Solanum lycopersicum: one gene and its partner. The main gene of each other region encodes a partner of the protein of the gene in region 2 in a complex. Links are inferred from orthologs where the notes say so. Each region holds a gene or a part of one and is shown on either strand. Other genes may lie near its edges.

Region 1 (4,794 bases), on a different chromosome or scaffold from region 2:
TAAAAGATAGCAAGCTGTTTCAGGATGTTATAAATGTCTTAAGTTAAAAGGATATTGTTACTACATGTCTACGTCATAGAGAATCTTGGTCGACCCAATATTTAATAATAAATCTGCATGTTAACTGCACAAGCTAGATAATGAAAATTTCAAGAATTTCAAATTAGGACCTTGACTGCTGAATAATTGTGAGGATGCTGGACCTTCCAGAAGAGAATGAGCCAAACAACCAAATAAAATTGTACTAAATAAGTTCCATAATAAAGAGGATTCCTTTTTTTTTACAAATCAATGATCTCATTGCGCATCTATAAGCTGAATCACCCATAAAACCCAAGGAATATTTTAATCATCAGATCATAAAGTCACCTCATATCTCAATTAGATGAAGCACGATTAGGAAAAAAACACTATTACTCACTAATCAGACAAACCTAATAGCTATAAAAACTTTTAGAATAATGATTCAATTCTTTGCTAAGTTACAAAAGTAAGATCAAATATCAGACAGATTCTAAAATTTAGTCTCAGGTCTGCACTTGCTGAAAAGAGTCAATGGTAATGAATCATAGCTAACACAAGTAAACCTGGATATCCTCACTATGATAAAAAGAAAGAACTAACATCCTTGAAACTATAGACACCAACTGTAAGAGAAACATTCAATTTCCTAAAAGGAAAAGTTGAAAATATATGTAACAATGGTGAAGAATCTCAAGATTTATTACTATAATCTCAATCAGACACGAAGTCAGTTTCCAATAGACACATCGTGGACATGTGCTAGAGCATACTGAACACCAACAGCTTTCAGAGAAAATCCTTAAATTCCTAAAAGAACAGTTGAGGTGAAAAGCATGGATATGTGAAGAATCTAAAGATGTGCCACCATAATCTCAATCATGCACCACATTATTTTCCAAAGAAACAATCCATTATGATCTCCTTAACTTTTATTCAATGCAAGGCCAATCATATGCTGGATACTGAGTTTTGTTGTGCCAAATGCCCCTAAAATCTATTTATGTGATTGTGACTATGACTACAAGTATGGATGGATAGTGAGAAAACACTCAACTAACCAACTAACCTTCAACCTTTATTATGTGATTGTGTCTTCCATAACCTCTTATCTAAGGTCAAGTCCAAGGTCAGCCGAAGCTGTGTCATGTATTGCCTTATCACCTCTCCTCAACACTTCCTCAGCCTACCTTTACCTCTCCTGAAACCATCCAACCTCTCACGCCTCTGCACAAGGACATCCGTGCATTTTCTCTTCAGATACCCGAACCATCTCATCCAACCTTCTGGCATCTTGTCCTCAATCAAGGCTACTCCTACTTTTCCGCGGATATCATATTTCGAATCTTATCACTCCTAGTATGCTCACAATCCCAGAGCAGTGTAGGTGGGCTATATGACTAATCCATGTCCACTACACTTAATCCAACAGCCTGTTTCGTTCCAAGAAAAATACATCTGACCTAATACATATTGGAGCCCCAATATAAATCTTTAGTACCTACTCTACTCTATTCAATACTAAATAATATGTCTTTTATTGCCAAACCGGGAATTCTGTATATATTGAAGGTCATTGAACTCACATTTCTGCTTAAATGGATATACTAATCTCCAAGATATCTCTTAAATTAGAGATAGGCAAAACAAAATAAATAAAACCAACTTCTCCTTCCCAAGTTATATAACACTCACCAAATTTTGGAACTACCAAAATGTCAACACGATTCTTCAAATAATAATTACTATATACTACTCTTTTAGAGGGAATTCCTATATACAACTTTCAAACTACTTAACTACTAATCCAATATTTTCACGTGTCTATTATAATGGTGGTTTCTACGCTACTTTACTGCTTGTCAATTAACCTGCTGAGTACATGCCACCTTCCACAAACAAACAAAAAGTACAAGATATCGGTCCACAAAACTCATACTTTTCTCTAGATATGAGCCTAGTTTCCTAGGATCCATTGCAACTTTAGCGATGGTTGCATTCCAATACTAACAACACTTTCGGTATTGGAACTTGAATTCTCCTTCTACTTAACAATTACTATAATTTCTCATTTCAATACAACATTATTCGTCTTTTAGTAAAAAACTAGTTAAATTCTTTAGGTCTTCTGGTTCTCTAAATCCTACATGTATCCTTCCGAGAAATCTAAGTCAGTAAAATGCGAAACAAATAAATAAAAGCTAAGTTCTCCGTTCCAATTTGTATAACACTGTCTAAGTTATCAAAATGTTTGACACAATTCCACAAACAACACAAGTTTTTGCAATATTTAAACAAACTTCACAAACAACTATTTAATTCCTTCATCAAGTTAACATCTTAACCTATACATTCAGTCAAAAACCATCATCAAAAATAAAACTCACAGCAATTTTGGAGCAAAACTGAAACTATGTATAAGGAGATCAATTCAAACAATCACTATAACAACAAAGAAATCAAGTAGCGGTAACTGACCTAGATGATGGGAAAAAAAACTAGGCATTAGCAGTCTTAGGAATGAGAGGAATGGATTGATGTCCCTTTTGCTTCATTCGTGCTTCCTCTTCACGGATCTTCTGCATCTGAAGCATCCGTTCCATAACAAGCTCATACGCACACTTCTCATATGTATGGCGCTCATCCTCGCACTTCCATGGAAGATAAAATTCCGATTGCCGACACTTGTTCAAAGGGATCAAAAGGTGTGCGCACTGATCCCTATATGCTAATGGCACTTTGTTCTCCACCATTTCTTCTTGTGTTGCAATCATCTTCTTCGATGAACCTGGAACCTCCATTGCCAAATTGACTTTCGTTTGTTCGATTTTGGGATTTTTCTCTGCGAATTTTCCCCTCTTTTCGATTGTTTGCTCTGTAGAGATTCGCTCTTGTGGTTTGTGAGGTATTGTTGGGCTTTTGGGCTATTTTGGGGTTATTTGGGCTTTGGATGTTTGGGATTGTAGTGATTGGGCTAATATTTAGGCCCAATAAAAATTGTGTTGTACTAATAGCTTTTACAATTCTTTTTGGGAAACTTACGTAGAACTCATTACTGCTAATTACTTAGATTCACTCTAGTTTCTAATATTACGAATCTTACTAATTTTGGCTCTTTCATATACCTTTGGATATATCCAGGTACATGTATCTCGTGATGTATATTGTCAAAACTAGGTATAATTTGTTCAAGATATATTGTAACCAAATGGATTTTCATTTATCTGGGATACATGAAAAAATCTCCTCAGCCTCCCTCCCTTCTCGCTCGCCACCCTCCTATGTATTTGGCATTTTGTTTATATGTGAATCACACCAGATACATGCATATACATGTACCTAGTGTGATTCGCTTGTATCTTATATATATACATAATGAATCTTGTTCACCTCACTCTCGATCCGCTTGCCTCTCTCCTTATTTTAATGTATCTGATAACAAAAGTGTATGTATCTAGTTTTTTCTTCGTCAATATATGACAGAGAATTCTTAATTAGTGATAAGATACGTAATATTTTGAAAGTATAGATAATAATAATAATAATAATAATAATAGTAGTAGTAGTAGTAGTAATAGTAGTAATAGTATAATATATCTAATCATGTAGCTTCTCCAAAATTATTATATCAAGTTGGAATTCGAAAATGGCTATACTTGACATAAATTAGTCGAAAAAACAATGTGTTAAAGATTAAGATTTAACGAGTAAAATTCAAAGAACATGCCTTAGATTTTAAAACCATGCAAGTGAAATTTAAAATCGTGTCTTAAAAGTACAACGTTGTTATCAATAAAATTCAAAAATTGTGTCTTAAAAATTCAAAAATCAGTGTCGACTCAACAGAATGCTTCTGTATCTTATCAACGTTGGATAACTTAATTCTATGATATAAATAATTTATTTTCACTTATACATTTATAGACACATAAAAATAAAAAGCATCTTAATTTTCTTAAAATATTTTTACAAAAAATATTTTTCATCGTATCGAACGCTACATACTCTCTTGTCTCAACTAAATAACTCATCATTTTCACACCTATATTATAATTCTTGACAGTCGTCATCATACCTTCCCAACAAGAGCCACCGCCAAAAAACAAAAGTAAAATACTAAGTAATTATATGTTGTTCATCACCAAATTAAAAAATGTGATACGATGGAGTAAAATATTATCTTAATTATAATCTACAAATTCAAACTAGAGCTATTTATTCAGTTGGTTCAATTTGATTTTATTAAATCGATAATCGAATCATTATGATATCAAAATATGTATGACTCTAGTGCGAAGAAAATGAGTAAAAAGGCACTAAAGTTAACAAATCGGATTATTGGTTAAATTTTAAATTGAAAAAACAAGTCACTAATACAAAAAACGTTTTGAACTACTAGTTAACACGCTGTTTGGATAATTGTTGCTCATTATTTTATAATGTATTATATTGTATTGTATAATATTATACTATATTGTATGGTAGATACGATGTTTGGCTAGACTTAATTATTGTTATTGTTTAATATAACATTTTTGATTGTTTGATATGATTGTATCGTACTATATTATAATTTATAAATTTACTAAAATATTCTTATTATTCTAGGGTAGGAGGCTTGACTATAATTAAATAATATAAGGTAAAGAGTAAAATAGTATTTTGAAATATAATGTAACGATATAATTGGAAAAAAATTTAACTAACAATGGAAATACACTGAATCGATTATTCGATAAAATGGATATTTTCATTGTTACGCAATAACAAAAT
Region 2 (5,241 bases):
TTCTTTGTCGTTTTCTTCAATTAGGATTTTGTTACAAATCCACCTTCAAGATTTTTTGTTCTTTTTTCCTATTTTATATTCAACTGCATTATACCTTCATCAGGTCAAGAATTCATACATCATATAAGATATTTTGATATTTTGTCACTATGAAGTATGAAGGCATCCCAATGGTTCTGCCTTCAATTGTAATTGCATCAGAAGAGTGGGAAAAAAAGAGATACTTTTGATTTGTTGTAGTTCTTTCCAAAATGCCATTGTCTCTTTCAGCATCGAAGGCACTTAGGCATTTAGTTATACAGCAGTACGTAATCAAACAGATTACTGATTCCAGATCAGGATTAGGCCACCTTGCTGAAGTTCAATACTTGAGTGGCATTGCTGGTGTTCTTTCATATTACCATGGGTATGATGCTGGCAGGAAGGTGATTAAGTCTTTGTCATCGAGAGAATGAAGAGGATGTTGTGGGGGTCTTTTTAGAACAGGTTTGGATTCATGGGTCGGGTGGTAAATTGATTGGGTCTAACTAGTAACTACACATGGACCAATAAATTGATGCCACATTGAAAAGACCACATTTTCTATACTTGCTTCCGTTACAAGGAGGAGCAATTTTAGGCTTAAATTTAATGCTAAGTGCAACTTTGGTTCAATAAGTAGAAGGAGGGTAATTATAAGTCATTTTCAATATGTTACTGGTATTTTTGACCCTTCATCGTTTTCAGGATAGAACTTTCTTCAATGCTACAAACGCACACATATTGAACACATTGTCTTCTTATTTTTTTTATTTTTTTTATGACAAGGGAAACCCGCAGCCGCTACCCTTTGGGTGCGCACAGGGTAAAACCCACGCTCCTGTGCAATAGCTCGCAAACCACATAGGAGAGATAACCCGCACTAGGCAAGTCTAGTGCGACGAGCTCGACCCAAAAGGCAAACCCCTTGCTTTCGGCCTTTCGCTGGCAAGGGGTTTCGAACTTGGACCTCCAACATGAAAGTCCCAAGCTCAAACCATTGGGCCACCCCCAAGGGTAGGTAACACAATGATTTTTTTTCTAAAACGATAAGATAATGAAACTTCTTTCTGTGCTACCTAGCAAATCAAAATCAACAGCAAATAACTTTATGAATACAACAATAATGTCATTAAAGCTAGCTCATGACTAGTATTAATAAAGAGCATCTAGCCTTGAATTTACTGCACAATATAAATTCAAAATAGGATATGATGCAAGACGTCTCTTTATATATTCTTCAGCAAACATTTCTCATCTTTTAGCACTTCATCGTGGAAACAAAATATATTTGATTGAGTAAAAACTTAGGCTTCTTCAACGAATGATCTAACAGAGTAAACAGAAATTTTTTGATGAAGAAAACGGGATTTCACCAAAACAGCAGCCAGAGGATGAAAAATACAAAAGTGATAGAACCAGTACAAGGTATATCTACTAATTTTAGGAAAAATCTTTCTAAATATTTAGCACTACCAAACAAGAGAGAATAGGAAAATGTTTTCCGAAAACATTTTTCTTCATACCAAACATGAAAGAAGGAGCAATAAGGAAAATTGCCATGGAAAAAAAATGTAGGATAGGAAGCTCTAATTGAACAACTTCAGGTGAAGAATCCAAACCACAAGGTACTAGTCCTTGCAGCCCCAGAAATAGGAAGTAATTTAGGTTAAGAAAAGAAAAAATTGTTAAGGTGGTGCATAGAGCAAATGAAGATACTATCTCTACAGATACTTTAAGTACTACACCACAGATATTTTCACCAGCCTACTGGAGACGGCCTTTTCTTTTTAAGAAATAACAAAAGGCATTATAACTAGTGGTAGATTACTGGATTGACTATAGGTGGTAAAACCTCCGGCGATCCTCCTCTTCACTGATGGTTCAGCTGAAGGTGCATGTGCACCAGGAGGGAGCACAGAAGAATTGACAGGGTTAGGGACCGGAGAATCAGGCAGATGCTCTGATGAGGTAGTTCGGGACTACGCATTTTTCAAGTTTGGCAAAATAAAGTATGTGGATACTTTGACCAAGAAAAAGTAATACTCTTTACTAGGTTTTCGATCCTAGCATCACATCATTCTGTCATAGTACCATAATATTTCAACAGATCATTTCCCAGCCTATAAGGAGAAGATCACATAACAAACTCTAATATAATCCACGTGATGCTGGTCATTTAGACACAGAATGAAGAAACCACAGCCGCAATAGAGTTCTATAGTAAAGTTACCCTTTAGTCAACAAAAAAAAGAGTTCTTTAGTATTCGTCCAACACGAAGATCAACAAACAGCTTAAAGTAACTTTACCACAAATTGACACAGTAAACAAGATACAAGTCCACCCATAGTAAAAACACACGCAACAAAAATGCAACTCGCATCTGGACAACATGGTACAGTACTACAGTAATGTCATCAAAGCATAACATTATTTTTCTGATAAGTATGTCAAAAAAGCATAACTGATTCTATTCAAAAAAGAAAAAAGCATAACTGTTTCACACTAAAAAGGAAAAACAGAATTGGAATACAATAATGCAGACTTACAAATGGGATTTTGGAGGCTTTATCATTCCAAACAGCTAACAGTCCAATCCCCACAAAACAACTCAACCCACCGCACAACCAAGCCAATGCTTCATACTGACATTAAAAGCAGTTCAAGAATCTTCAATTATCTTATATAAATAACTTGACTAGCAAAAATGAAAAACTTGAAATCGTGAACGGTAAAGCCATGAAGATGATTCAAATACTAATCCCCTTACCAACAGATACAAAATCCTAAGATTTCACATATAGAAGTCTCCAATTCCAGACTATAATTACTTTTATTAACAAACTAAAGGGTGAAACAATGAATTGGGGATTCGTATACAAATCTTGAGCCAAAAATCCAGCCTTTCCAACAGATATAAAATCTTAATGATTTGATATACTATCAAAAATAAAAATTATAAAAAGAATAAACATGGGTTTCAAATAGGGATCCTAATCAGAATATCAAACCTTTCCAACATCAGCAAGTAAATCTCCAATACACATTAAAACTAATTTGACTAAAAATGAAAAATTGTAAACGGTAGCAAATGAATTGGTGATTTAAAAACAAATCTTAAATTAGAACAAAATATCCAACCTTTCCAACGGTATCAGCTATCCGATCGATACAAGGCTCGGGAAAAGGAGTACCGTTGTCCCATGTAAGTTCATCATTCACATGAAGCTACAATCATAACGAAAAAACATCAACACTAAATTAGGGTTTGCCAATCAAACTAAAAAAAACAAAATGAAACATAAAAAGTATAAGTACTGTATGTATTTATACTATAGTCACTACCGGCTTATCAGGTACGATATGTTTTCCGACGGGAAGGCCCATGCCGGCGCGTGTTCGAAGAGAGGATGCGAGGGAGCGGGCGACAACACCGTTTCCGCCCATTATGCGAGTAGCTACATTACTCAATCTTCCGGCCATTTTCCGATGATCGGAATCGTTCGTATCTCGCCGACAGTTCTTCGGAATTCAACGATTTGTGATTCAGTTCAATTTTTTTCCCTAGTAGAGATTGCGTTACTGAACTGCCCTTTCCATAGCTTAAGGCAATGAACCAAAACGACATCGTTTGGTAATTTCTCCATTTTTGTATTTCGGTCCTAGTTTTAGTGTAAATTCCATTAAAAGCACCAAAGTTTATTAGTGTACACAAAAGCGTCCTCCTAAAGCTGGAAATGTTAGAAAAAAAAACTATATTACGATAAATATGTTTATATGATTTCGTTATTCATCTCACATACCCAAAACATTGAAAGAGTTGCTTCAATTTATTCAATCAATAATTGAAAAAAAAAATCTTACTAAAATTGGTTTTTTTTAATTCTTATTAGTAATACAAATGATGAAACTCCCATAGGATGCATTTATCTTAATTCCTTCACTTTAACTAGAGCAAATTGCTTCTGCTAAGAACATTTAAAAGTAACTTGAATCATAACAAATTGTTCAAAGTATACAGATGATTATTCGAACGAGATCACTGATCAGCTAATAACTATATTCTCAAAAAGTCATCCGATTTAATTTTGTAATAAAAGTAGTTTAACAAATGATAATTATCTCATAAATTCACTTAACTTTATTTTGTAACAGAAAAATTACTTAACTATTGTCGTTTCACAAGTATATTGAAATTGGAGTATAATAAAATTAAATTTCTTTATAAGGACATAAAAAGTTGTGTTACAATTTATTTCAAAGTTAGCACCACGGAGCACACTAGCAAGCAGCCAATATGTCCTATGACCAATTGCTACAACACTTGTGCTACTCACTATTTTTTTCGTAAACAAAATTCAACAAACTGTATAATAAGAAACAACATATAGTAGTAGTATAGTAACATTGGTAAATGAACAGTTTCTAGACTCTAGTAGTACTATTTTTTTCAAATTCCCAACTGACTCTGCACTTCCAAAATAGTCTTAGCTGAATTCCTAAGCTGTTCAATTTCTTCATCAGTAAGATGCACATTCGTCACGCCCAAAACTCCACTTCTACCAAGCTGTGCAGGCAAGCTCAAGAACACATCGCCACCATCAATGCCATAGAACCCTTTTGCAAGAACCGAAACAGGGTGAATCCTTCTTTGATCGCGAAGGATTGTTCGAGCCAAGTTAGCAACAGAGTAGCCAATTGCCCATGATGTGTAACCTTTCAGACTAATCACTTCATATGCACTGTGCACAACTTCTTGGTGGATTTTTTCCAGCGTCTCTTTTTCCAAAGCAATTTGTTGCCTCTCAAGGAAACTGAGGACTGGTACACCTCCTACACTAATGCCTGACCAAAGTGCCACTGAGCTATCACCATGCTCTCCAACAATGTATGCCTACAAATATATAAATATATCACACAAGTATACTACTTTCACATAAACAATACACACAGAACTTAGGGTATTAATCGGATGTTAAATTCGATTCAAATACTTTGTAAATTTCTAATTAGATAGTATTTATTATTAATAGTATTTTAAATTCAACGGAAAAACAAATTTTAATTACTATATTAGATATGTTGTTGTTATAATGTGTTAGCTTATTTCTATCTATCGAACTCGAAAAATAGGAGTTTTTCTCCCTTCATGTACTTGGGAAATAGAATTCCTTCCATTTCAATGTAAGTGTCTTGTTTACTCCCTCACTCCCTCCATCCAA

Evidence for each region.
Region 1: the proteins of NADH dehydrogenase [ubiquinone] 1 beta subcomplex subunit 8, mitochondrial (region 2) and putative NADH dehydrogenase [ubiquinone] 1 beta subcomplex subunit 7 are in contact, whole or in part, in a cryo-EM structure (PDB 8BEH), measured with the Arabidopsis thaliana proteins. The link is inferred for Solanum lycopersicum from reciprocal best matches to the Arabidopsis thaliana genes AT5G47570 and AT2G02050. Residues at the interface, in NP_568684.1 of Arabidopsis thaliana: Ser103, Lys104, Val105, Pro106, Phe107, Thr108, Pro109, Arg110, Tyr112, Pro113, Tyr114, Leu117, Glu120, Leu121; in NP_565280.1 of Arabidopsis thaliana: Met10, Ala12, Thr13, Gln14, Met17, Leu24, Gly25, Arg27, Asp28, Met29, Arg69, Met70, Ala72, Met73, Ile76, Arg77.

The regions. Positions count from the first base shown.
Region 1 is NC_090803.1:2,706,929-2,711,722, forward strand, and holds the start of putative NADH dehydrogenase [ubiquinone] 1 beta subcomplex subunit 7, read right to left. Parts: upstream 2,881-4,794; 5' UTR 2,823-2,880; coding exon 2,520-2,822; 3' UTR 2,500-2,519; intron 1-2,499. UniProt on the Arabidopsis thaliana protein: Accessory subunit of the mitochondrial membrane respiratory chain NADH dehydrogenase (Complex I), that is believed not to be involved in catalysis. Complex I functions in the transfer of electrons from NADH to the respiratory chain.
Region 2 is NC_090807.1:64,704,340-64,709,580, reverse strand, and holds the start of NADH dehydrogenase [ubiquinone] 1 beta subcomplex subunit 8, mitochondrial, read right to left. Parts: upstream 3,641-5,241; 5' UTR 3,503-3,640; coding exon 3,365-3,502; intron 3,248-3,364; coding exon 3,161-3,247; intron 2,665-3,160; coding exon 2,569-2,664; intron 1-2,568. Other genes in the region: ldh1 (L-lactate dehydrogenase), read right to left, coding at 4,470-4,913. UniProt on the Arabidopsis thaliana protein: Accessory subunit of the mitochondrial membrane respiratory chain NADH dehydrogenase (Complex I), that is believed not to be involved in catalysis. Complex I functions in the transfer of electrons from NADH to the respiratory chain.